Lepisosteus oculatus: one gene and its partners. The protein of the gene in region 2 purifies or fractionates together with the protein of the main gene of each other region. This does not show direct contact. Links are inferred from orthologs where the notes say so. Each region holds a gene or a part of one and is shown on either strand. Other genes may lie near its edges. The genes, in order: parp2, rnf146, hltf and xrcc1.

Region 1 (7,211 bases), on a different chromosome or scaffold from region 2:
AGTCACACACTGCCACAGGCTCTCTGACAGAGAGAGAGCACAGTCACACACTGCCACAGGCTCTCCGACAGAGAGAACAGAGTCACACACTGCCACAGCCTCTCTGACAGAGAGAGAGCACAGTCACACACTGCCACAGGCTCTCTGACAGAGAGAGAGCAGAGTCACACACTGCCACACGCTCTCCGACAGAGAGAGAGCAGAGTCACACACTGCCACAGGCTCTCTGACAGAGAGAGAGCAGAGTCACACACTGACACACGCTCTCCGACAGAGAGAGCAGAGTCACACACTGCCACAGGCTCTCCGACAGAGAGAGAGCACAGTCACACACTGCCACAGGCTCTCCGACAGAGAGAGCAGAGTCACACACTGCCACAGGCTCTCCGACAGAGAGAGCAGAGACACACACTGCCACACGCTCTCTGACAGAGAGAGAGCACAGTCACACACTGCCACAGGCTCTCTGACAGAGAGAACAGAGACACACACTGCCACAAGCTCTCTGACAGAGAGAGCAGAGTCACACACTGCCACAGGCTCTCTGACAGAGAGAACAGAGTCACACACTGCCACAAGCTCTCTGACAGAGAGAGCAGAGTCACACACTGCCACAGGCTCTCTGACAGAGAGAGCAGAGTCACACACTGCCACAGGCTCTCCGACAGAGAGAGCAGAGACACACACTGCCACAGGCTCTCCGACAGAGAGAGCAGAGTCACACACTGCCACAGGCTCTCCGACAGAGAGAGCAGAGACACACACTGCCACAGGCTCTCCGACAGAGAGAGCAGAGTCACACACTGCCACAGGCTCTCCGACAGAGAGAGCAGAGACACACACTGCCACAGGCTCTCTGACAGAGAGAGCAGAGTCACACACTGCCACAGGCTCTCTGACAGAGAGAGAGAGCAGAGTCACACACTGCCACAGGCTCTCCGACAGAGAGAGCAGAGTCACACACTGCCACAGGCTCTCCGACAGAGAGAGCAGAGACACACACTGCCACAGGCTCTCTGACAGAGAGAGCAGAGTCACACACTGCCACAGGCTCTCTGACAGAGAGAGAGAGCAGAGTCACACACTGCCACAGGCTCTCCGACAGAGAGAGCAGAGACACACACTGCCACAGGCTCTCTGACAGAGAGAGAGAGCAGAGTCACACACTGCCACAGGCTCTCTGACAGAGAGAGCAGAGTCACACACTGCCACAGGCTCTCTGACAGAGAGAGAGAGCAGAGTCACACACTGCCACAGGCTCTCCGACAGAGAGAGCAGAGACACACACTGCCACAGGCTCTCTGACAGAGAGAACAGAGCCACACACTGACACAGGCTCTCTGACAGAGAGAGAGCAGAGTCACACACTGAGACAGGCTCTCTGACAGAGAGAGCAGAGACACACACTGACACAGGCTCTCTGACAGAGAGAGAGCACAGTCACACACTGCCACAGGCTCTCCGACAGAGAGAACAGAGTCACACACTGCCACAGGCTCTCTGACAGAGAGAGAGCACAGTCACACACTGCCACAGGCTCTCCGACAGAGAGAACAGAGTCACACACTGCCACACGCTCTCCGACAGAGAGAGCAGGGGGGAATGACACGGGACCCGATGCAGCCCACGGTGCTGTACAGGTCCGCTTGATTTACACGCCAGGCAGCACACCCCCTCTCAACGAGGGCTGCTCTCCAGCGGCCGAGACCGATCGCAAATCCCACGGCACGAATGCGACCGTGCCTCGCCGCCAGAGCTGGAGAACAATTCGCAGCAAAGCCCCGTTCGGCTAACCGAGAGCACGGAGCCGCAGAGTGGCGGAGAGACAGCCGGGAGGCGCCCTGTTTCTCCGGCCGGCGTGTGGTCCCTCACGCGTGTACACGCGTGTTCTTTCAGCCTGTTTCCTCTGCTGTGGGGGTCTCTAACAGGACAGCCCCCCAGTAAAACAAAACGGTGTCTGTTCCGCGAACTACCTGGTTTCTGCTCAGTCTGGGCTGTTTCTTCTGCTGAAACCTCAGTCCTGTTACGGCTTCCTCGGGTCCGGGGCATGGTAACACAGAAAATATATATATATGTGTGTGTGTGTTACCAGGTCCCTGGAGTTGGGGAGTTTCGGTGTTGTTATGTAGTTAACGGATAAGGTGGTAGTCGGCGCAGTAACTCTTTCTAGCTCTCTTGTTGCTCCGACCTACAGGAAGCGCGCGCGCGCGGGCGCCCTCCACTCGTCCTCGCCATTGGTCGACGTCGCTGTCAATTAGACTCGGTGGAGGTTCTCATTGGCTAACATGAGCGAATGCGGGACAAAGAGGCAGGGGTGTGCGTGTGTAAGCCCCGCCCCGGTGGACTACAATGGTTTCCCTGGGTTCGTGTGCTGAGGGCGGCCGCAGTGACACAACCGGCCGTTTCACTTAAAAAGATGAGAGCGGTGCTTTTCGCATTGGCCTGCGGGGAATTTTAGTGGTTGGCTTGGTTAAATTTGCTAGTGAATGCTTCTTTTTTGACTGCCACGGACACGAGTGGGCTGAGGTGGACGTCTTAACTGGCTTTTCGGATGGATCCCTGGGAACTGGCTCTGCGTGGGGCCGGTTAGCTCAGTTGGTTAGAGCGTGGTGCTAATAACGCCAAGGTCGCGGGTTCGATCCCCGTACGGGCCAGCGGGTCTTTTTGTTGTTCTGTCCCCCCGAACTATTTCACGTCGTGCACGCTCTTTACTTTAGCGTTGTACCTTTCTCTTTACAGCAACGCTGGAAACGAAACAAAAACAAAATAAAGATTTCCCCTTGTCTTTCTTCCGAAGATGAAGTGCGATTCAGACTGCGAACGGAAGTGTCGCCTGCGGTCGTGTCGCCTGCGGTCTGGACCCTGTGACCTGGCCTTGCTGCAGCGTTAAGGTTCACCGCCGCTCACACCGCGGAAGTACATAGCGTGCACCTGTAATGGCTCTGAGGAAAGGAGCAAAAGATAACAAAACACCCACTGGCCCGTACGGGGATCGAACCCGCGACCTTGGCGTTATTAGCACCACGCTCTAACCAACTGAGCTAACCGGCCTGCTGGAAGAACTTGCTCATGATAGTGCTCTCAGTGGTGATGGAGGTGATTCACTGAGCTTCCGTTCTCTGTGGGGTAAAGAGACTCTTCTCTTCACAGAGGGCGCCCCCACGTGCGGCTTTTCTCATCAACAGCTTAGACACCAGAAACAGACTGCAAGCTGAAAATAACGCTCTAACCAACTGAGCTAACCGGCCCCAAGCCACCCAACATCCAGGGAGCCGGTGGAAAAGCACGTACCGACGTCCATCTTGGTCCACGCGTGTCCGTGAGAGTCAGAAGCATTCACCAGCAAACTTAACCAGACCAGACACTAAAAATAACATCCCCCGCAGGCCAATGCGAAAAACGCTGCTCTCATCCTTTTAAAAGAAACGGCCGGTTGTATCAAAACCCCTGCCTCTTTGTCCCGCCCTCGCTCATGTCAACCAATGAGAGCACACGCACACACACACTTCGTTTTTTTTTTTCCGTGGGGTGGGGTAACGTGTAACGAGGTGCCGGTTAGCTCAGTTGGTTAGAGCCTGGTGCTAATAACGCCAAGGTCGCGGGTTCGATCCCCGTACGGGCCAGCGGGTGTTTTGTTGTCTTTTGCTCCTTTCCTCAGAGCCATGACAGGTGCACGCTATGTACTTCCGCGGTGTGAGCGGCGGTGAACCTCAACGTGGGAATCGAAAGAGCTGCAGCGCGGCCGGGTCACAGGTTCCAGACCGCAGACTGCAAGAGCAGGCGACACGGACTGGTCATCGACTCAGGATGGCCGAGCGGTCTAAGGCGCTGCGTTCAGGTCGCAGTCTCCCCTGGAGGCGTGGGTTCGAATCCCACTTCTGACACAGACAGCTTTTTCCGTTTGCCTGATGTTATCTGGACGCGAGGGCTTTGTAACGCGAGTGCACGTCGTGTGCGTGCTCTAGGACGAAAACAGTTTTGCAAAAGGCTCCCGTTCAGCGATGACATACTTCCCCAGCTGCATGACGCACATAGCTCATGGCAATGACAGCTGAGGAGAAAAGGAAAAGCCAGCGTCTCCCCGTCGGGGAATCGAACCCCGGTCTCCCGCGTGACAGGCGGGGATACTCACCACTATACTAACGAGGAGGACGGAAGGGGCACATCCTTCTTGAACTAGAGACACTGAACACGCTTCTCGGACAAAAGCTCCTCAGAATCGCCTCATTCACACAGGTCTGCTAAACAGTTTTTTTTACAGACTATACCAAACTGCAAGCACATGCAAGCTCTGCGGACCCGATCTTAATTGACCTTGTTTAATCGTTTTTCACAAAGTCTCATTGTATTATAGCACGTACTCCCGACGGTTATTTATAGGGTTGTATGTATATATGTGCGTGCTCTATTGTATCCATTTTAGTTAGTAAAATAATTTTAAAAGAAGGTTTCCAATATTCTCTGCTTTCTAAGGTGGAGGGCGTTTCAGACTGAGAACGGGAGACACCTCTTTGCACAGAGAGTTGTGGGAGTGTGGAGCGAGCAGATCAAGAAAGTAAATTAATTCCTTATGCTTACGTGTTTTTTGCTTTCCACTCAAAGTGCTTTACTGGTAGCAGACAGCAGAGTGTTGACGCCGGTTCACAGATGGGGATTATTTAGGAAGCCATGAGTGGACAGAGAGACAGAATTTGGGCAGGTAGGAATCCAGCCAGACGCCCTGAACAATCTGAAAACTACGTGCCCACCTCCTGTATCCCTGTTCTGGCTCCAGTCTAATTGGCAGTGCCCAGGTCTGACATTACTGCTCCAGCAGTGCCCAGGTGTGACAGTCCTGCTCCAGCAGTGCCCAGGTCTGACATTACTGCTCCTGCAGTGCCCAGGTGTGACAGTCCTGCTCCAGCAGTGCCCAGGTCTGACATTACTGCTCCAGCAGTGCCCTGGTCTGACAGTCCTGCTCCAGCAGTGCCCAGGTGTGACAGTCCTGCTCCAGCAGTGCCCAGGTCTGACAGTCCTGCTCCAGCAGTGCCCAGGTGTGACAGTCCTGCTCCAGCAGTGCCCAGGTCTGACATTACTGCTCCCTCAGTGCCCAGGTCTGACATCACTGCTCCAGCAGTGCCCAGGTCTGACAGTACTGCTCCTGCAGTGCCAGGTTCTGCTGCAGCCCCCGTTCTGTGGGCGACAGCAGGACCAGGTCATCTGCGTAGAGCAGGAACTTGATTTCTGTGTCGTATAGTGTGAGACCAGGAGCTGCAGACGGTTCTAACATTCCTGCTAATTCGTTGATATAGATATTGAACAGTGTTGGGCTCAGGCTGCAGCCCTGTCTCACCCCACAGCCTTGGCCTCTCTCTCAGGGTCCATAGGAGGGACCACGTCAGTTTTGCAGCTCACTGGAAGGGAGGCACCTCTGATGACCCAGTGTGCCTGACTGGCCCCTCCCATTCAGGGGGAAATTCTGGGAAAAGAGCACACAGCGCCACCTGCTGGTCCACCAACACCACTTCTCTAAAAAGTAATATTGTTGTTAATAATGCTTTCATCCTTTTTCTAACCACTTCACCAAGTACAGGGTCAGGTGGGAGCCAAAGTCTATTGCAGCAAGCAAGGTGCTGGGCACATGGCAGGGTACGCTCTGGTCAGGACACCAGTCCATCACAGGACACACACGACAGGACAGGACACCAGATGCAGTTTTCCCAGAAACTGATTGGCCTCACCAGCATGTCTTTGGACTGTTAGAGGAAACCCAGGCAAACACAGGGAGAACATTGACCACAGGGTCCCAGTACTACAAGGCAGCATGGCAGACCACTGTGCTACCCTGCTGTCCCACTGCTTATAATCATCACAATACACTTTATTTTATAAAGCACCTTCCATACCAAAAATATCCCAAAGCAGGGTTGATGGTAAAAGAGGATACATAGCCAGCAGCCATATCACCCTGCAACTCACAACTGTCAGCCCACTGAAGCTCAGCAGGTATGAGCCTGATCAGTACTTGAATGGGAGACTCCTGGGAAAAACTAAGGTTGCTGCTGGAAGAGGCGTTAGTGGGGCCAGCAGGGGGTGCTCACCCTGCGATCTATGTGGGACCTAATGCCCCAGTATAGTGACGGGAACACTATACTTTAAACAGCCGCCGTCCTTTGGATGAGATGTAAAACCGAGGTCCTGACTCTCTGTGGTCATGAAAAATCCCAGGGCGTTTCTCAAAAAGAGTAGGGGTGTAACCCCGGTGTCCTGGCAAAATTTCCCATTGGCCCTTACCAGTCATGGCCTCCTAATAATCCCCCTCTATAAATTGGCTTCATTACTCGGCTCTCCTCCCCACTGATAGCTGATGTGTGGTGAGTGTTCTGGCGCACTATGGCTGCTGTTGCATCATCCAGGTGAATGCTACACACTGGTGGTGGTGGAGGGGATCCCCATTACCTGTAAAGTGCTTTGAGTGGAGTGTCCAGAAAAGCGCTATAGAAGTGTAAGCAATTATTATAAAAACAGCACAATATAAGGACTAAACATATGACACTTTTCTTAGTGACAGCGTTCGGGGGTCTGTGATGATGCTGTGATAATGATTGCGTGAATGTTCGTAGTACAGAACTTGTGTTGTGTAGGTGTGCACGGTTTCCCAGTAGGGAATGCTGGTGTGTTCATCACAATGTGTGTATCACTGTATGTCTGTATCTCAGTGTATCACTTGATGCGTGTGTATCACAGTGTGCGTGTGTCACAGAGAGAGTGTGTCTGTGTGTGTGTAACATGGAGAGTGTGTTTGTCACAGAGAGAGTGTGTATCATAGAATATCTGTGTCACAGAGAGTGTGTGTGTGCGCATCACAGAGGGAGTGTGTGTGTGTCACAGAGAGAGAGTGTGTGTGTGACATGGAGAGAGTGTGTGTCCCAGCCAGTGCTAGTCGCTGAGCAGAAGCAGGTAGATGAAGATCATGCTGATGTCCAGGGACAGGACGAGGGCAGCGAAGCTGTGCTCCTCCAGGCTGGTGTCTGTGGGCTCTGTGCTCAGCACCGCCTGGCTGTCCTCTGCCAAACACTGCAGAGAGAGACGGAAGGGCGTTGTCGCTGACCGAGACTGACACAGTGATAGTGAGACAGTGAGACTGACACAGACACAGTGATAGTGAGACAGTGAGACTCACACAGACACAGCGATACACCCTCACACAGGAGAGTGCGGCAGAGCTCCCA
Region 2 (6,937 bases):
ATACTGTAAGTGTATCACAGTCATGAATTATCAGTTTATCAAAATGACACCAAAACATTTTCTCCATCTTCAATAATCTTATTTTTTTTAAAATATACATGCAGACATTGAATGAAAACAATTAAACATTTTGATGATCTTTAGTATAGACTGAATATTTAATTCAGAGTATAATGCACAGGTAGCAAAAACATAAGTTACTGTATATATGCTGTAAAATTGGAAATCACTAAGTCTGAAGAGGTTAGTGAAGACAGGACTTCATGAAAAAGGTGTCCATGGTGACATATTATTTATGTTTTCCAGACACTGTGGATAAGAAATAAAAGATAATAAAAATTTTAGAATATCTAGTTATGAAATGTTAAGGGATGTTACATTCAAATTGTAAAATGTGCTAGTAACACCTTATATCACAATACTGTGTAGAACTACAATATACTGTAGATATTACTTCCCAGAATGTGGAACACTAACAGACAAAAGAAACTAAACACTGAAAACAATGGAACCATATGAAAATATTCAAAGTCCTTAAAATGATCAACAAAGTCAATCCAGTGGAATTCTTCAGAAAAAAACAATGAAATGTGAATTAAAGGACACAGGTGCAAACTACACGGATGTATATATAATCTCTCTATATATTGTTATGACTATCAAAGTGTGTCAGGACCTATAGCAGAAACAATGGACAGAGGTCAAAGCAGTTGCTGAGCTCTATGGGGTCTGAGAGACATTGATCAAAATGAATCGTTTACCTTGGTTAATTTACATTAAGAGTCTTCCACACTCCAGAAACACAGGATAAAAGACAAGCAGAAACAAAAAGAGACACACAGAAAAAGGAACAGACAGAGGAGACGAAACATGCTACAGTAGGTGACCTACTTTGTTCAAATGTGTCTTAAAGACAAGATTCTAGCAAAAAGTATTTGAACTTTGTTTCAGAGAGCTTGTCATTCTGTTATTTTAAGAAACTCTAATTTCCTAAAAAACAAGAGGAATTTTCCTAAACATTCCTCGCATTCCTTTTCCCAGGCTAAAGATGTTTTCTTCTGGTTAATATATTCTGTACATGTTTTAGAACAGGGAGGTAGATTCCCATTCACTCTGGGAGCTTTCTAATCTATGGGAAGATAAATTTAGCTTTGGGTTGAAATCTGTTTTATTTAAGATGCAGGTTTATCTCTTGTGTTGGTCTGATATAGGTATGATAGAGAATTTCTGAATACAGGGTTAGCAGTTTGGGTTTTTCTAGTTGGTCAGGATTCAGACCTCTGAAAGGCCTTGTTTGTTAATAGGGTAACTTTTATGTTTTATGTTGTATGTGTTGTCTAGTTATTGTTATTTTTAATAAATATTAGTTCACAGCTGTTTGCCCCTTATTCATTACTTTTTAACCAGAAGTGTGTAAGAGAAGAAACACATTAGGTGCCTCTAACTAAACAAACTGCTCGGGTATATTCTTGGCATATTTTTACAATATAATAATAACAATAATTGATTGCTTACACGTATATATGGCTTTTCTGTACACTCCACTCAAAGCGCTTTACAGGTAATGTGGACTCCCTTCCACTACCACCAATGTGCAGCATCCACCTGGATGATGCGACGGCAGCCATAGTGTGCCAGAATGCTCAACACATACTGTATCAGCTATCAGTGGGGAGGAGAACAGAGTAATGAAGCCAATTCATAGATGGGGATTATTAGGAGGCCATGATTGATAAAGGTTAGTGGGAAATTTGGCCAGGAAACCCAGGTAACACCCCTACTCTTTTTAAAAAACGCCCTAGGATTTTTAATGACCACTAAGAGTAAGGACCTCGGTTTTACGTCTCATTTGAAGGATGGTGCATTTTAACATTATACTTTATAGGGGGTGACCGCCCCTGCTGGCCCCATTAACACCTCTTCCAGCAGAACCTTAGTTTTTCCCAGGAGTTCTCCCATCTAGGTACTAACCAAGCTCACACTTGCTTAGCTTCAGTGAGTTGCCAGGTGTGAGTTGCAGGGTGATCTGGCTGCTTGGATTATATAAGCTTGGAAAGTTCATATGCTCACGCCTCACAAGACAGCTAAAGACAGGATGACCTATCACAATTATCTTTAAGAGAATGATATTATAGAAGTTGTATAGCTCAAAGGTACTGCAACTGTTCAGCTAATATCATTGTAATACTCAAAATGGTTTTATATGGTAATGAGTGAGATGCTCTAACAGAATGTTTACATGGACTGTACTGCATGTATTGATTTATGCATGGCACTTACTTTTGTTTACGACACCAAGTTATTACACAAATGTCCTGTGTATAGTGCTATGGTGTTAAAGAATAATGTAAAAAACAAGGCGCTGTGCACTGTGTCAAATCAATTCTACTGGTAGGCATCAGAGGACAGTTTATGTCTCCTCTCTCCTGAGCCATAAATGAGTCACTGCTGCAGTGTTAAGTCCTAAAATGTCAATGATTAAAATATTTAAAGGAGATAAAAGCTAAAGGTTAGAACTGAAAAAATATATATAATGTAAAAATAATGTTTTAAAATAAATCATGTACCTAAGTCTTCTTCCTTTCTGTGATTGCAAGACTCATTTAGGCCTCACTGTTGTAATGTAGTTTAAAAATACAGCCTTTTAGTGCTCTGGAAAAGCTAAACCCCACTTCTGTTTACTCAACATACAGGAGAATGAACGTGATGACAAACTCTATAATATGCAGTACAAATGTTTATCATATAAAATGGTTTTATCTTTTTATTCAAGATTAGTATTTTTTTAATAAAACATGTTCATTTCATTCTTTATGTAGATGACACCCTAAGCCGTCCAAAGTTACTTTTATTTACATCCATTTCTACAACAGGGCATTTTACTGGAGTAATTTATTGAAGTACTTTGCTTAAGGATACAACAGCAGTAAAGAAAAGCAATTTAGTTGCGACAACCAGAGTTTGCCAATGATTTCCCTTTGAATTCATTAGACAACTATTAGTCCTAAATATCCTTAAATGACAGCACTGGAGAAGGTAAATGTAGATCGCCATCATAAGAACTCAGTTCAGCTCATCTCTAGATCAAGAAATTCAGGTTACCAAATGTCAGCAAGTGCTTACGGGCCACAACATACTGGTTAAGTCAGTAGACCACAGAATCCTTGATTTTCAAGGCATTATTCTCAAACAAAGACCGGCAAAATAAAATAGTATTCATGATAACAAAAGCAGAACTAAAAGATCTACAGTGTAAGGGTAAGGTCTAATGTGTTTGATATGTGATTTGATATTTACACAGTACAAATCGTGAAATTGGTAGTTTTACTTTATTGCAGGGAGCCCCGCCACTCCAGTTATTACAGTAAACCGTACTGAAGTCGAAAACATAATTCCTACGTCAGAACTCTTTTATTACATTTAAGATACGACAGGCTGCGATCGTTACTTTTATCAACGTATTACTAAACCATAAAACAAATTAACGTTCGCTTTTTTAAATAAGTACTAATTCAAACAGTATATAAGCATTATTTACTTATCAAATGGATCAGTGTTCACCTTTAAAAGTATATAGCAAACGGGAAAGAGAACAAAAATAATGGATTATGTAGTTCAGGTGGGTAGCTGCGTTAGTATGCGTAGGCTGTAAAGGATCAAGCACAACAGGACAATGCTTCCTGTACGTTATCAATGATGTTAATAGAAAACTCATTAATTAAACATATCCAAACCAAACTCACGAAATGTTTAAGCGTTTCAACCCCCCAAAAATAAAACACTAAAACATCTCAGAGACTACCACCCAATAAGCACACCTTTCCTTTGCCTTTTATTTCCAGGTGACTTTTAATTTTATTTCATTTCCAGGTGACTGGAACACCCGGATGCTCCGCCTTTACGCATTCCGTATCTACGTAATGACGTCAAAACGCCCTAATCGTCAGCACGCTGAGGATGATGCGTATTGTTGGTGGCTTCGGCGTCTTGTGAAGGAGCTGGAGGAGAAAAAAGGGCTGGTGAGTATTTTGAGAAATCTGTAAATAGGGCGAATGATAATTTCGAATTTGTTATAAGATGGTGGGGGCGTTGTTTTAGACAGAAATGTTCGGCCGATGAGTAGAAGCCCTTTTATTTACGGTCTGGGAAGCGGCCGGGGTCTGCGCTGCTTGGCCGGGCTATTACCAGCGGCTGTCATCACCCTGACCAGACAACATATCTTATTGTTGTTGTGGTGGGCCCTGGGAGTGGTCGTTGTACGAAATCAAGCAATCCTAAACGACACCTGTCTTTTTAACCACTTCTGCCTTCTCGATGATACTACCCGCCTGCGTGAAGGCCTCGTGAAATGTAATTATTTCAAGTTTAACCTGTCGGGCCTCCGTCGTGTTTAATGGTCAGCCTACGGTTTCCTCACGTCCTTTTGTAGCCACCTTAAAAAACGAAGAGTGTCGGCGAGTCTTTGAGTCTCACGGGCAGTGGCTTCAGAGAGAATGCAGTTTGGTCCTTCAAGCGGTCCGGAACTGGGTGGCTGAGTTCTGTTGAAAATCCGTTGTTGTTAAGGAAGACCTCGTTACTGTGAAGATTGTGTTTGTACCAGCATAGTTTACATTTTAATAACAATGCTGAGCCTGAGTCTCGATTCTGTGTGTATGTATACATGCACATCGTTACCGTAGGGTGTGAACACATTAAGAAATGGAGCAGCACAGTAGTGATAGATAATTCTGCACATATCCAATTGATAGCTAGAGAACGCGGTATTAACTCCGCTACCGTTTGGTGTAGGAACTAAAAATACAGGTGGTTGAGCTCATCCCAAACAACTTAATTTGCAAAACACAGTATTCCTTATAAAGAGGACTTGAAAGAACCTGATTTGGTTTACCAACTTAAAAAGAATGTTGAAACAGTGACGTATGTACTTTTAAGTATTCTACATAATTGATAAAATTAATGTTTTGTGGGAATTACGTTTTTAATGTTCTGTTGATAGAGTGTATAAAGATAACATGTTTTATTTAATATTCAGATATGAAATATTCGAATTTATAAATGCATCAAGTTACAGACAATTCATTTCTGTAGGAAGAAAACAGTTTAAACAGTTTCACATTTCCTCTGAATGCTTTTCTCCCTCCTCATAAGAAGAACTTATAGTTCTTATATATATATCATATAGTAGGTTTGATAGTGGTGATTAGATTGATTTACTTGTTCATCTGTTTATGACCTCTTTGTTACTACATTAAGTAAAGTCCTCTAAAACGGGCATCACGAATTTGAAGAAAATGTAGTTATATATTAAGAAAATGACACCATGCAGACAGTCGCAACAGAATGCGTTAATATACAGGGCAGAAAACAAAACATTGTATGGCCTTATCAGTACATAAATGTATATTTAAATAAGTTATGGTAGGTTAATGCTTGGGTGAAACAAAGTAAATTCTTTTCTAACAAAGGAAGACCTATTTTAGTAGGTTTTTAAAGCGTTTTCTTAAGTGGGCTAGTACCTTGAGAGAAACTGGAGATAGTGACACTACATGTGGAATGTTTAGTAAGAAATAAACGTACTTAAGACCAGGGATTCAAGGTATTCATATCTATGTGACAGATGTTAATTTGCATGTACAGCAGGAGGCAATGGAAAAAACTAATTTGTTTAATATCATGAGCTAAGTAGTGGGAGATGATTGATGAAGAATCATTTGCAAGTTTATGTAAAATATTAATAACCTGAAAGATTATTGAAAGGTGCTAGTTTTCTTTACCGATGTGTTTCTAAACATGATACACCATGATAATTGTCTAAACTTTTTCATTTTGATTTTTTTGTTTCAGATGGGTGTAGATAGGTTTGATTATTGTTTTGCCTACCATTTTTATGTGATGATGAGGATTTTAAAAGGGTGGATTGATAATTGTTTATATTTGTGTATATACATGCATTTCATATCTTTATATAGTTACCCTGGGTTTAGAGGGCAGGTCTCAAGTTGTCTAACTAGTGGGAGGCATGGAAAAATCAGTTTCATGTTATAGGTTTTAACATTTTCTTTTATCAGGGAGAATCTTAAAGAAGAAAAATATCCTCTTGATGAAAGTGCTGTAACTACCGTGTATATCGTAAGTTCTGCATCTGTCTTTCTTTAGTCATATTTTATGGGATATTATGCTCTTTACATGAAAAAAATCAACAACTTGCTTCATATGTAAAAAAATGTGCATATTACGAAATGAACAAATAGAAATCAAGTTAGTTTCAATACATAAAAATAAACAATTTTGACATTATTAAAGTTATTAATCACTTTTAGCATCCTAACCCATGGCATTGAAAGCCCCCAAACATATGCAAATATTTATATATTTGTGAGGTAAATAAAATATGAACTCTAATTTGGGGATTCCAAGATTAACAATTTGGAATTTAATTAGAAGAAAACACCAGGCATAATTACAAATAAGACAAAACCTGGTTGGCCAAGGGAATCATCTGCAGCTGATAACACAAAAATGATCAGTACTGGATAAGAAAATCCTACAAGAGCTGGTAGTGAAATCATCATTAACTTTTAGATAGTGGGACCAAGTTCAATCTTTTCAACTGTTAAGTGTGGAGAAAGGAACTGCAAATGTTTTAAAGAATATCACCTTATCTGTGAAGCGTGGTGGAGATGAAGACATGTCCTCCTCTTCTGAAAACGGCTCAGTGAAATGTATCGTTGATGTATCTAATAAGAAAAACAATGAATTCTGAAGTTTACAGAAACACACTTAATGGAGCAGCACTTTACCATGCAGTTTAATGGTCACCCAAAATATATGGCCAATGCAACCAAGTTTATTAGGAAAAGAATTGAAAATCATAGATTAGACAAATCAAACTCCAGATTAAGATCCACTTCAGCATGTATTTTACATGCTGAATAAA
Region 3 (6,955 bases), on a different chromosome or scaffold from region 2:
TGTCATGGGGAAAAACACGTCATATAGGTTGTTCTCGATTTACACAGGAGATACACTCCTGAAAAACATTGCATAATTAACAAATGTGTAAATTAAAAATGAATTCACTCTAGTAGTGCATGTACTGTAAATGGGGGGAGGGGGGTATGTTTAGCTCCCATCCAACCAGAGAATCGATTGCTAGATAAAAACCAATCATGCAGTTTTATTCATGTAAGATGTTAATACTTATTTGTATAGACATTAAGCTTTTCTAAGAGTTGGCTGTCAATTTTATGTCAACAGTGAGGGGCAGTGAGTCTTGCCCAGCTGTCTTCAGTCCTCCTACTCTCAGTGAGCCTTTTAAAAATGGACGTGTATTTTGAAGTCTTGTAAATAACATTGCGAATATTTTCAGCCAATTAGTAATCGTAACCCATTTTATTTAACATCAAGGTTGACAATTTGGGAGGTTTTTTTAAAGACTTAAAAATAACAAGCTTGTGTTTGCATTCAGCTTTAAGATTGTTTTAATAATAATAATGTTGCTTTATTAGCCCTATACAATTTCTTGCATTAGGAATTTGTCTTTTCGCATACCCCAGCTTTTCTCCATGAGACACAGACACACAGACAGGAAGAGAAGCTTGGGGTCAGAGCGCAGGGTCAGCCAATGTATGGCGCCCCTGGAGCAGTTGGGGTTAAGGGCCTTGCTCAGGGGCCAAAGGGAGTAGGATTCCACTGCGGGCCGTGGGATTTGAACCGGCAACCTTCCAGTCACAGGCGCAGATCCTCAGCCACAGAGCCACCGCTCTGCATTTTATGCATTGTAGTAGATAGATACTTTATTGATCCCGTGAGGGAAATTGCAGTGCAACAGCAGCTTAACACAGACAACACAGTGTAACGAATGATACAATAATAATAATAATACTACAATACAATCAATACAGTGAGGAGTGCTCTAAAAGAGTTACTCAGTCCAGGTCACACAAAGAACAAACTAGAACAGAACAGTACACAGAAAAATCATATTGCACATAAGAATATAAATATAGATGTAAATATAGATATAAATATAAATGTATTGCACGGGTCCCTGGCATATATTGCACAAAAAATGGTTGTAAATGGGAAAAGAAAGAGAACAGATGTAGCAGTAGATGTGTAGATGCGTTCAGTCCAGAAACAGGTCACTGTCAATGTTGCCTCTGCCCAGACGCAAGGTGGATGAGTTGTACAGTCTTATGGCAGAAGGCAAGAATGACCTCCTGTAGCGCTCTCTGTCACACTGTGGATGAATCATTTTATTGCTGAACGTGCTCTTGTAGATTGTTATACAACATAAACATTAGGTGCAGACTAAGACATTTTCAATATGTATTTAGTAAGCTTGAGATGACAGGAAATGATGAGGGACAGCTTACAACTTGGTACACGCCGAGTGTACAGACTCAAACACTCCATCAAATCACCTGTTGCAGACTGGGACCAAGCATGTTAAAATGAGAACCAATTCATAGCCTACAGTACATTAAGAAATGTATTCAATATATTAATAAGGCCAAACTGGGCAAAGTAAAGGGTGTGTCATTTAAGACCTGCCTGTACCCATTTCTCTTTAATAGTGTTTTTGTGGAAACCAGTTATCAAAAACAATTTCTGAACGTTTTCACATTACACCAGCACTAGCATGTTGGCACATGCTTAAAAAAAACATTTCAGAATGTTTTATATAAGAAATGCATAGCCCAAAGAGAAGGCAAATCCCACATGGACATAAAAACCCATAGCAAACGTACAGGTAAAGGGCATGATTAACTGTGTGGTGTTTTGTATACTATTTTCTATTATCCATCTCACTGCTCTGCAAAACTATTAAAAAAATGTTTCACATAATACGAAAGTCATAAGTTGCTTACAACAGCAGTTTGTAATGTGGTTCTAATTGGAATATAAGCAATTAAAGCCAGTTTTAAATCCAATACCTTTTTAAAACCCTTCTCAACAACAGTATTTTAAGCAGTCTTGAACAATACTTTTTATTGAGGAACTGGTAGCTTGACACAATTTGACAATTTTTCTCATCTCATTAAGAGTTAGTGGGGTGGGTCACCAAAATGAGAATTTAATTATTTTATTGATAAAATAATAATAAATAAAAATATTTAATTGATCACCAGATCCATGACAGGCTGCAATATGCCAACCTCCCACTGAGAATCAAATAGAGGAAGAAAATGTATTAATTTTAAATTTGTGTAAATTCACATGAAACCTGAAGATGCAGTGTATTGTACTGATAATTTCACGTATAGGCGGAGAACTTGATTAGCTTTTAATATGAAATACCTTAGCACATACAAATAATACGCGTAAAACAGATGTGTACGAACAGCACTAGAATAGTTGATAATCCGTGTACGAAACGCAGACATTACATGTCCTGGTAAAAATACAAATATTGACATATGTATTCCCTCTTATACAGTATGTCAGTGCCTTTTCAACTTAATTTCAACACAACCTTCCCAGGGGCACGAAACCAAAAAAGCCAGCGCTTACAGATTTACTTTGCGAGTTATTTGTTACCTTTCAGTTGTTGTTTTTTTTTTAAGCAAAGCCGATTCTGTTATTCACCTTTGCTCTTTCGTTGTTGTGCAGAAGCAGGTCGCTAAGCAATAAGAATTCGCTCAATTACTTTATAACAAATAATCCGTGTACGAAACGCAGACATTACAAGTCCTGGAAAAAATACGAATATTGACATATGTATTCCCTCTTATACAGTACGTCAGTTACTTTATCCTGGCCAGTTCAGTAGAATCAATGAAAACGCTCAACAAAATCATTAAAAAAAGTTTAAAGATACAAAGTTGACCTTTTCCAGGTCAAGTTGCATTAACATTATTTATAAAAATAGACACCGTCAACAACCCAGTATATACTACTACATACTAATGTATACATGACTGGTGCCAAATTCACTCTTCGATGTACAATACAGTGCTGTGGCGTTGACGCCACACGAAACAATAAAACTTCAGTATTACTTACTTTCACAGAGCCCCTGGGGATGGAAGGCATTGCCACAAAAAATACGAAAATGAAATACACAAGGACTATGCAGTGGGTTACGCTGGCTTCTGCAAACCCACAGCATTTAACAATGAAATTCAATGCTTCTGGGAGCCCGAACCCTAAAATTAATGTCAAACACAAAGAAAAAAGTAGAAGGAACGCCATTTTAATAAGAGGGAAAGGAGGCATGTTTTCTGCTGCTCGTCAGACTTCGCTTGTGTTGATCTGGACCGGAACAGTGCGATTTAAAAGTAGAGAACAGCGCCTACCACACCAGAATTCCACTTCCTGCCCAGTTAAACGCCAATCGCTCAGCTTCATTTAGTTAATGTTTTGATAAAATGTAACTGAATTCTCACATACAGTAACATGCACTTAATTCAGCACTAGGAAAGCAAGCTAGGGCTGCCACGTGCTGTGCGTCCTTTATTTCTGTTCAGTCTAATTAATTACAGAGGGGACGGAATCAACTCTACTCGTGAGTGGCCAGATCATGTTTCCAGTAAAACGTCAATCATTAACCAGCTTTTATTTATTGAATTAAAGTCCTCACGTTTTTCCAACTGCGATTTCTCCAGCACACAATTTACAGCAACTACATTACGAAAAACCCACACTGCCACATCCAGTACCTCTGATAACATTATTTTGGATGAAAACCCCCTTTTAGTTCTGCTATTACTGTAGGCAGCTGTTAGAATTTAATGGCAGAGTTTTGCAAAACAAAGGTTCATAATCAAGGTGGAACAAACAGTATTGCTGATAAAGCTGTGTACAACTTCAATTCCTGTACCGCCTATTTCACAGGTAACTAAACCCACTCACCCTGGTTTCATATATTATTGACTCCGCCCAGGTTTTTTACTTGCTTGATCCCGCCTTCTGATTTTTAATTGGAGAAGGGAAGTAAATATCTGCATTTTTTTCATACGCTGCTTAGCTAAGGCAGACAAATTCTTATTTGTTGAGCTATCCTAAATCTTGTTTCTGTTTCCGGGTTTTGGGTATGTGTATAGGTTTTGAGCGTAAAACTCGTGTGGCGCATTATGCGGTATTGACATCTCAAGTCTCTCGGAAGTCAGCGTCTCCTCCATGCCTCCCCTCAAGTGATCTATAATCTGCCGGAAATCGCCCCCCGCTCCCACATTTGTCTGTTGGCGACACCCCCGGTCCGAAAGAAATCGTCAGCGAATTATTTAATTATATAATATGACCCTGAGTCATCTGAGAATCCGCTTAAATCTGCTAAACCAGTGGCATCTCTGTACAACGAAAGTTTGCAAAGAAAGCGAGATTATTCAACGGGACTGGTGAGTTATACTGTAGCATTTATAGAATAATGCATACATATTATAGTATCTATCAGCGATTTATTTAATTATATAGCTGTGATTTTGTTTTCGGAGGGGGACCCGCCCCCTCTGGTCCGAAAGTTTTCGCGGGAGGGACGACCCCCCTCGCTGAAATACATTTTTCAAAGTTGGGATGTCTGAAAAGCTATTGTAAATAGTATTTCCGTGTAATGTTTGCAATGGTGATGGACAACTGAATAATATTTTCCTTGTTCAGTAAGAAACCTGTATCGGTTTTGGAACTGGTGTTTTGCATTTCTTTCTGGGACTAGTGTTGCAGTGCAAGCTTATTCTCTGCAAGGCGTGGTGTTTTTGAAGTGTGTTGTTATTTTGAATAGCGATCAGTGTTAAAAAAAATGTTGGTTCTAAAAATAATTGGTAATTCTGGAGTGTCACGATTTCTAAAAAGATTCATATTCTGCTTGGAGCAGGGAAAGGGATTAAAATAGTTTCTGAATTTAAGAGCTGTGTATAGCTAACAAGATTATTGGAGGGTACACAGAGCAGCTTTTACAAGCTCCTCTGTAAGGAATGTGTCTAAGCGATTTAACAAGTACTAAACATTGTGCATTAGGGAAATGGAGTAATTTTCTGTAATATTATTTGCATTTATCAATTTTTTAGTGCTGTAGCTCACAATACTGATAATGTGTTCTTCAATATTATAATTAATAATTGCTTACACTTCTGGACACTCCACTCAAAGTGCTTTACAGGCAATGGGGACTCCCCTCCAGCACCACCAATGTGCAGCCCCACCTGGATGATGCAACGGCAGCCATAGTGTGCCAGTATACTCGCCACACATCAGCTTTCAGTGGGGAGGAGAGCAGAGTGGAATTATTGTTACAACACCTATGTCCAAATATAGATTAATTACTATTTAAATGAACATTTGACAGCGTTACTGCTCTTTTATGTTCCTGTGAAGTTATTTAGAAATTAATTTGTAAAGCCTTATTTCTCATCGTCATACAACATCATTGAAACATATCGTACTCTGTTATGGTATCTGTGGATGGTATCTCACAGATCTGCTTTAATGATCCCCTGCACTCTTGTGATCCAGTGGTTAAAAAGTAGGTATTGAATGGTTGAAGTGCTGCAGTACATCTTCAACCTGAGCCTGAGACTAGAAAGGGTTCCAGGGCTCTGGAAGACACCTTGCCTGGTGCCAGTACCCCAAAAGGGGCACCCTAAAGTCTTAAATGACTACAGACCAGTGGCACTGACATCACACCTGATGAAAACTCTGGAAAGGCTTGTACTAGACCAACTCAGAACCCTGGTGAGTACAGCACTTGACCCCCTGCAGTTCGCCTACCGGTCACACATGGGAGTGGAGGATGCAATCATCTTTCTGCTACACAGACCTAACTCTCACCTGGAGAAGACGGGGAGCATTGTGAGAGTTATGTTCTTTTATTTCTCCAGTGCCTTTAACACCATCCATCCCCCATTACTGAGAGAGAAGCTAAGAGCTGCGCAGGTGGACACTCCCCTGGTGTCCTGGATTATAGACTATCTGACCTGCAGGCCACAGTATGTACGGCTGCAGAGCTGTGTGTCCGAACAGATTGTTAGCAGTACTGGGGCTCCACAGGGGACTGTCCTTGCTCCATTCCTGTTTACCTTTTACACCTCTGACTTCAGGTACAACTCTGAGGCGTGTCATCTGCAGACGTTTTTGGATGACTCTGCAATTGTGGGGTGTATTAGGGGAGGGAGGAGGAATAAATGAGCTTGGTTACCAACTTTGTGGAGTGGTGTCATCTTAACCATCTCCAGCTAAACACCAGCAAGACTAAAGAAATGGTCATGGACTTTCGAAGGAATAAGTCTCTGCTGAACCCTTTTTCCATCCAGGGCGAGGACATAGAGGTGGTGCAGTCCTACAAGCAATAAGCTGGAGTGGTCTGTTAACACTGACACCCTGTCCAAGAAAGGTCAGAGCCAACTATTTTCTTAGGAGGCTCAGGTCCTTTGGTGTATGTGGAACACTGTTACGCATTTTATTTGAATCAGTGGTGGCAGCGGCCATCTTCTACGATGTTGTGTGCTGGGGCAGCAGCATCACGACAAGAGATGTAAATAGGCTCAACAAACTCATCAAGTGGATCTGTGTTGGGGCTGAGCCTTGACCCCCTGGAGGTGGTGGCTGAAAGGAGAATGCTGACCAAGCTTACAACCATCATGAACAACGCCTCTCATCCACTTCATGGGACTGTAACTGGGCAGCTGAGCACTTTTAGCAACAGACTGCTCCAGCTACGGTGCTCAAGGGAACGTTTCCGCAGGTCTTTCCTCCTGGCGGCTGTCAGGGTGTATAACGCTGCCCTAGGCTAGGACTGTTAGCCCTTCATCTGCTCGTCTATGGACAGCATGTTGCACTATTGTACTTTTTGGGCACTCAATCTGTATATACCTATGCACGTTTTGCACAAATGTTATTGTTTTACAGTGACTATGAGCATATTTTGCACACATCTAACTATGTATTTATTTTTTATTACTGTACGTATTTTAATTTTACGTCTATTCTG
Region 4 (7,384 bases), on a different chromosome or scaffold from region 2:
GAAACCCACACAAACATGGGGAGACCATACAAACTGCATACAGAGTACACCCCAGGAATGGAACCCAGTGCAGTCAGGCAGTAATGCTAACCACTGTACTACCATGCTATTATTTACCATTAGTTCAAATTTAATATATCCTTAAAGTCCCTTCTCTGATGTGTTAAAATATCCTCCTCCAGGAAATTAATACAATTCCCAAGAAATTAGACCAGGCAACTAATGTCATACAGTTCTGCACAACAATCCAAAAAGTTACCATCATTCAATCTTGTCTAATTTTATTTGCGTATTGCCTTAACAGTACACAAATGTACTGTGGCATTTTAACAAGATTAAGATTTCAGTTTACTTTGTCATTATATACTGTACAGTCAATTATTGACACACTCTGTGTTAGTTACTGTATTTGGTAAAATAATGAATGCTCTTTTTATTTGACTTGTTCTGCAAGATCTGAAGTGGTCATCAGTGGTGAAGGTTTTTAGTGCTGCTAAAATTCTGTCATTTCCAAATGATTGATTATGATGAAATAACTCTTACAAACAAAAAATCGTACATGAAAGGTATAAAATGTGATGTCTCTGTTGATGTTGTTGAGAATATGAGGGTTATAGTAAGCAAAATCATTAATTAAATATTTCATGAACAATATGGAAGTAATATTTTTTTCTTATCCACACCATTTCTAGAAAAAATGTACTTTACAGTAAATACAATGCTGTCTTCGAATGCAAAATGCAGAAGTCTATGGTGTAGCTATTCTGTTTTAAACAAATGGACAGTTTTAGAAACACAGATACAGTAGATCTGTATTTATTTTCTTGTGCAAAAAGTAATCTTTTACCTGTCTGGTTTTGTAGACTGGCATAAATCATGTTAATAACTAGAAACACTGAACAATGGATTAATTCAATTTGATTGACACAATGTATCAGTTGCTAAAGCCCTTTATATTATCTACACAGGTGTAGTTCACCTTGAGCTGTTGTCATCTTTCTTTCGAAGGTTTTTGTCTAATTCGTTTACACTGAAATTTGACTTTTGTTCATGGAAAACATAGAAGAGCAAAGCAAACATTATTTAGAAATCTTATAGTAAAATTATAAGCAGAGTCCCAGATTTTGTTGGTTTTGCAATTGACCTTAACCATCAATAGATTTCACAACACATATACACACGTACGGTACATACACTTTCTTATATTATACAGTATATACTGTATACTGTATATCAGACTACATCATACTGTTAGTAACCTTAGCAGCATTCACAGACTAGACTGCAGTGTTTATGTTTTGTTTTGTTGCATACTGTAAATAAACACCCCTATGGAGCTAAGATCACAGTTTTAGGCTACTACATGTTTTATTTTTTTATTTTTTAAATTTTCACACACACCGTCTTTTGGTAAGCTGTAACTGAAAAAAACTCACAAGCACAAAGATGGAGTGTGATTTTTTTAAGTGACTGCTTACTTGAAATTTGAACACTGTCCAAAGTGTTTCTGGTTGACTGCAAACCTTCTAACACTTTTCTTCTTTGAAAATAAAACAAGGCCACTTTTCAAAACGTTGTATTTTTTTTCTATTCCCCGCATAACATCTTTGAGTTTGTTGGTAGTCTGTTAAGGCCAACCAAAAATCATAATTACACTTTGGAGTGTATTTATGCATTTTATTTTCAAGGGTGAAATTAGGATGGTACTATATCTCTTCCTGGTTCTGGCCTTTAGATTTTATATGAAAACCTTTTATGTCTTTTTGTTAATCAAAATCTGATTTGGGGGCGGTTTCAATGAAGAAAATATTTTGAAACCCGAAAATGACCTCCTTGATCCACATATTTGAGGTTCCCATTGATGCAAAAAAACACAAATTAATTATTTTCTCAAAACAAGAAAATATTGTGAGTGTATAACAAAAGCTTTGTTTTATGGCTTGAGTATACAGTGGGTTGTACTATCTTGTATTATCAGAAACAAACAAAAGGAGGAAATTCAGATCTTTGGCACGTAAAAGATGAGTTGGGTTTGCACCACATTTCCACAACTCTCTCTTTGTACTGTATGCAACTATTTCCCATTTCCTCAAGTGCTTTAATTATTGTTGATATTAAATAACCTAAGATTATAAGTAAACATCTGTATCCCGGTTTCCTGAGTAATTAGCTGTATCATTTTGGAGTTCAAAAATATATCCATAGTCAAGTACTGTATAGTAACCATTGTCAGTGACTCTTCAGCTGATGAATTGTCTGGAAGATGAAGACTTCTTTTGTATTTACTGTGATACATAGTTAATGAAATAAACTGACTATTTCAGACTGACATTTTGCTTTTTGTTGGTCGTATAATTTTACATTTATTATTTTGATGCTATTTACAAACTTTACGGTCCACTATGTTTGCAAGATTCCCAGTTATTAGGTAGAATGGCCTGAGTAGCTTTGTGTTATGAGTAACTGAGTAACTTTTTGCTAAACTCTGGATCAGAAGGTTATTGTTAAACCTCCTAATGTCCTCCAGTTAATCTTTACATTTTCTCGAATAGCTTCTACACTTTGTCTCTATGAGATTCACAGATTTAAAAACAAAAACTCACTTGCTGCTTACTTCGGCTTCTGCTCCTATTCGGTGGTCTCTGGCGGCCTCTTGTGGCTCTTTACTATTTACTCTTAATTCAGACAGAGGCTGCAAAGACACTTCCAACGTCTTCTATAGGTACCTATTTTAACACTGTTGGGAAAAGTTGCTATTGAAGAGTAATACATTACAGTGACTGGTTACTTGTGTGAGGCAGGGCTTTTTTTAAATTATAAGTAAAAAAAGTTATATTACATTTAGGGAAAAAATAATGATCATCAGTCACAATAATTTATTGTAAGAAATTGGTTACATGTCAGCAGGTCCTGAGGTAGCCTCCATTTGTGATTATTTTCATTTTCTTTGAATTGATTATAAATCTTCATTGTAAAGATTCCCTTCTGTGGCCTAAATGTAGGGGTACGTGTGCTCCCAAAAATATATTTGAATTAGGCTCCATTTACATTTGCAACAAGAAGACTAATAATTAAAAACCCTCCTTTCATTTGCTTTTAAGTAATTCTTCCATTGCATGCTGTGTAAGCTTTTGGTTGTTCTTCTTTATCAAAATGCACAAAACTATATCAATGCAATCCTGCTTTGAAGGTTTTGGCCTTTTGCTTATTACCTAAGAATAAAGAACCATCTCTCCCAGAGCATTTCAGCTAAAACAACAAAGACCAGCCGAATGTGGTGACCAGCACAAGAAAATAAATGCGTCATTTTATTTAACGAAAACGTCCAGTGCTGCAACGCATGTAAATTAAAATATATATATAGATTTAAATGCAAAAGGAGGAAATACAACAAACAGGGGTACATATACAGAAATATATACAGATGTCTCAACATGACACAACAAGGTAGCAACAAGTGAATGAAACAGGAGGAAAAAAGAAAAAAAAACACAAAAAAAAGAAACCATCTTGTCCATAGTACAGAGGTTATGTGGTGTTAGAGGTTACATTACATAAGTTTATATGCTAAAAGACTTTTGTAGACCAACTCACCATGCTTATTTTAAAATATTTTCAGTAAATTAGAGTATAGCTTGAATGAGTTAGGAAATTCTTTAAAGCTTATAGGATTCTTTTTTACTCTACACGTGTGTATGTGAAATTTTGCAAACAAGAGAATAACATTAACCGTTAAACGGACTTCTTTGCTTGGATTCGAGACACAGAGAACAATATCTTTAAAAGTTAAATGTACACAGATATTACTGTTGTATAGCCAAGAACAAACAGAGTGCCAGAAAGTTGTTCAATGGTGACATGAGGAAAAAAAATGTAATTTCTGAGGAATTCTCAGAAATTCCTTAGAGGTATACAGTATATGTTATTCGGTATTTTAAAATGAATATCCTTGGTTTTTGGTGGCGTGGAGAGAGTAATGCATTCAGTTCTAATAATCTATCCTTGATGGCTGGGAAGAATCTCTCAGCCATAATAGTACAGATGTATTTACTTTTTTTTCCAATATATTATAAGTTCCAATTTTGATCTCTGGTAGTAGAGGAATTATATTTCTCTGGATAGGGACGTTTTTTTTTTACCAAAGCTAGGAGAGCAGGTGGAATTGCCTCAATAATTTCTTTGAATTGCTTTGGGTTGCATTCAATGTCATATTTTTTTTTTAACAAAGTCACCATATTCATAGCCATCTCCATTAGCTTCTAATTGAGAGCAACGCATGTAAATGATCTAATGTGCCACAGTTCAACACGACCACCGTAAAGATGGCGGCTGGTGCTGGCTTTGCCTGGTTTGACCCGGAAATAGTTTCTGGTTGGTTCTCACAATTGACAACAGAAAGGAGCGCCAGCAAAAAGAGGGAACTGAGCTGGAAGGAGATGTTGGAAATGGGAAGGATTTTTATTGAATAAAAGTAACAGTAGAACTCGTTATCGGACATTTTTTGGCGTTTTTGTAACCAAACACTATTGTAGGAGAAAGTAAAACTCACAACCTCTTCCAGACTTTTTAACGCCTGACACAAGTTAAAATCCAGGATAAAGAGAGGTGGTCATTGTACTGTATGTCGGATGGCCTGTCTAATGAGTGCTGTGCAGTAGGTGAATAGGTGCACTTTTCCTAACGCACTTAAAATTCATTTACCGATTGTTATTTTTCCATAAACCAATCGTGTGCAATATGTCCGCAACACGCGTTTTATGATTTTCGTTTGCTCACTTCAGCAAATGCGTATTTATTTAACCCCCAACGACAATTCAACTTTATAGCTATTTTCTAAACTATGCCGGAGATTAAATTGCAACACGTTGTCTCCTGCAGCAGCGAGGACAGTGTAAGTAAACTTTTGTGTGGTTGTGAAGCCTCCCGACTTTGACAAATAAAGAGACGCGTACGCATATCTGATATACTGTGTAAGAGTGCTATATGTATTATGCAATACTGTTTTAATAATTCCCAAGACACGTTTCCTTTACAGAACTTATGATATTTGCAAACTGTAAATAATAGGTAAGCAATAGAATAAAGTTATGTTTTTACATGTCTTATGTTCGTATTCAGGTGAACTAAACTATGAGTGGATTGGATGCTTGGATGTTCACGTTGTTGATATGTGTCCTTTAATGCAGTTTCGCTTACAAGAAGAATCGGTTCTGTTTCACTCTAACACACCGAAACCCTGTTGCATTGTAGTAAAACGTATTTTTTAAACGTAATATCATTGATAAGGTTCTGTTTTTCCTCAGTATACTGTAATTCCTTGCATGTGTGAAATGTTTAGTGAGCTTTAAGGTTCTCCTGCTTAACGCAAGTCACTGAGGGGTACAGTTTTTAGCAAATGCTGTTTCTTTCTGTCTAGATCTGCGGTGCTAATTGAGTGCTTTAATTGATCAGTTTACATCTTTACAATTTTATCTAACTTGTTTCTGCACTCAAATCGGATCTGGAGTGTTTGCCAGGACATAAGCACACTGAATTTTAAGAAGCCACTTTAAATTTTCACATTTACATTTTCACATTCTTTGGTTGCACTGTTTCCCTGTTGTCTGTAAGTGGGACTGTGTGATTTCTGAAATTTGAAAAAAGGGTGTTTATTCTTACTACTGTAACTATTTGTGTCTTTACATGAATCTTGGTCTTCTTGTTAGTTACTTGAATATTTTTAATTTAATATTTTCCTTGTATTCTAATAGGTCTGAACTAATAATAAATTGTTAACTGTGTTGGAATATTTTCTCTCTCTTTGCTTATGCACATACCCCATTCAGAATAAGTGTTTCTGACTGCCATTGGACTTTATCAGTGAGATTGCATGTCTGTTGTGTCATGTATCACTTGTGCTGCCATTCCAAACTACATCACAGACGTGTGTATTCGCAAAATTTTCAAGAATCGCTAGAGTGTGTGGTGAGCCCGAGCCCGTTTGGATGTCAGCCTGCCTGACCCATTTGTCACTTTCAAATTTCGCTTCCAGACGCACAAGGCAGAGAATCTGCTGAAAGCCGACACATACAGGAAATGGAAAGCAGCCAGGCTGGGAGAGAAACAGATCTCTGTCATTTTACAGGTAGGAAAAATCTATTCTTCTTCTCTATAGGCACATGGGAATGAAAACTTTGCGAGTTTGTCTCCAGGATCGTATTAAGTTTAGGAATGATAGTCTTCAGTTTCAGACATGGAATAAATAAATGCCCCAGAATGTTTTGATTCATGTAAAATGTTCTATTAAACAAAGAAACAAAGTGTGGACAGAGATCCAATTAAAATTCCCACTACAGCAGCTTGATCAGGATGCAAGCTGATGTTATTTGCAATGGTGGAAACGCATGCAGTGGATTCACATCTGTTTGGTGTTTCTTCTAAATCTCCAAGTGATGTTATCAGTCGGTTTACATAACACTACATTTACCATTTTTTAAATGGGTCTGGAGTACTACTTATTTGCAAAGGTTAAAAATGTGTCTGGGTGTGGATTGCTTGAAATCAACATTTAAACAGCTGTAGAAATTATTATTCTCGTAGCGCTAATATAACTTACCAAAAATGTCATCATGTAAAATGTATAACAAGCCTGAAAAGACAGCTTATTGCAATATCCCAGTCACACAAGTTTTGTTTTTCTGTCCATGCAGTTTGAGAAGGCAGAGCAGATCCACAGCATTGACATTGGTAATGAAGGCTCAGCTTTTATTGAGGTGCTGGTGGGGAACTCCACTTCAGTGAAAGACCAGGACTATGAGGTGAGCAGGATGTGTATTGAGCAGTCAGTAGGAACACCCCCAGATCATGGATAGAGATCCTGAGACATTTGCACAATGGTGTCTACCTTCAGGCTAGATCTTCCATTGCGAAGAGGATTGCAATACCCCAACGTAATTACAGTGTATGATTTAAGACCATGACAACAATAGGTTGCACATGCTTTATAATGGGATTCTGTCCTATTCCTCTCAAAGATCCAGAACACATGTACCGGTTCATCCGTCCCTCTGAGCCCTAAAGCATACCTGTTGTTCCATCTTGTCCCACAAATGTTCAGTGTGGCTCAATTGACATAACTGTAACATTCACATCTCCCACAAAGGCAGATATATGAGCTGCAGGAGCATATAACTTGTAATTCCTGGAATATTGTCCGACACTTTGTCCGCAACAAGCTTTCAAACAATTTTTGCAGACATTTCCTTTTCTCACTAGTAACCTATTTTCTGTTTGTAACTAAACCAGGCCTGTTAGTAGGGTATGCATAGCATAATAGTCACATTGTATCCTCACATACAAAGCAGTTGTCACACAAGGAGCATGAAGATAAGGCAAGATAAGCTCA

Evidence for each region.
Region 1: the proteins of rnf146 (region 2) and parp2 purify together in Homo sapiens (affinity purification with mass spectrometry; 4 studies listed by BioGRID and IntAct, counting the BioPlex papers as one, with this or other methods). This does not show direct contact. The link is inferred for Lepisosteus oculatus from reciprocal best matches to the Homo sapiens genes RNF146 and PARP2.
Region 3: the proteins of rnf146 (region 2) and hltf purify together in Homo sapiens (affinity purification with mass spectrometry; 4 studies listed by BioGRID and IntAct, with this or other methods). This does not show direct contact. The link is inferred for Lepisosteus oculatus from reciprocal best matches to the Homo sapiens genes RNF146 and HLTF.
Region 4: the proteins of rnf146 (region 2) and xrcc1 purify together in Homo sapiens (co-immunoprecipitation; 3 studies listed by BioGRID and IntAct, with this or other methods). This does not show direct contact. The link is inferred for Lepisosteus oculatus from reciprocal best matches to the Homo sapiens genes RNF146 and XRCC1.

What each region holds. Positions count from the first base shown.
Region 1 is NC_090699.1:10,811,970-10,819,180, forward strand, and holds the start of parp2 (poly [ADP-ribose] polymerase 2), read right to left. Parts: upstream 3,007-7,211; 5' UTR 2,050-3,006; coding exon 1,974-2,049; intron 1-1,973. Other genes in the region: protein lifeguard 1-like, read right to left, coding at 6,919-7,056. UniProt on the Homo sapiens protein: Poly-ADP-ribosyltransferase that mediates poly-ADP-ribosylation of proteins and plays a key role in DNA repair.
Region 2 is NC_090697.1:37,574,552-37,581,488, forward strand, and holds the start of rnf146 (E3 ubiquitin-protein ligase rnf146), read left to right. Parts: upstream 1-3,930; 5' UTR 3,931-4,019; intron 4,020-6,068; 5' UTR 6,069-6,129; intron 6,130-6,937. UniProt on the Homo sapiens protein: E3 ubiquitin-protein ligase that specifically binds poly-ADP-ribosylated (PARsylated) proteins and mediates their ubiquitination and subsequent degradation. May regulate many important biological processes, such as cell survival and DNA damage response.
Region 3 is NC_090708.1:14,815,804-14,822,758, forward strand, and holds the start of hltf (helicase-like transcription factor), read left to right. Parts: upstream 1-3,940; 5' UTR 3,941-4,269; coding exon 4,270-4,370; intron 4,371-6,955. Other genes in the region: bdh1 (D-beta-hydroxybutyrate dehydrogenase, mitochondrial), read right to left, coding at 3,037-3,249. UniProt on the Homo sapiens protein: Has both helicase and E3 ubiquitin ligase activities. Possesses intrinsic ATP-dependent nucleosome-remodeling activity; This activity may be required for transcriptional activation or repression of specific target promoters.
Region 4 is NC_090722.1:8,027,338-8,034,721, reverse strand, and holds the start of xrcc1 (DNA repair protein XRCC1), read left to right. Parts: upstream 1-4,383; 5' UTR 4,384-4,840; coding exon 4,841-4,891; intron 4,892-6,031; coding exon 6,032-6,124; intron 6,125-6,689; coding exon 6,690-6,797; intron 6,798-7,384. UniProt on the Homo sapiens protein: Scaffold protein involved in DNA single-strand break repair by mediating the assembly of DNA break repair protein complexes. Negatively regulates ADP-ribosyltransferase activity of PARP1 during base-excision repair in order to prevent excessive PARP1 activity.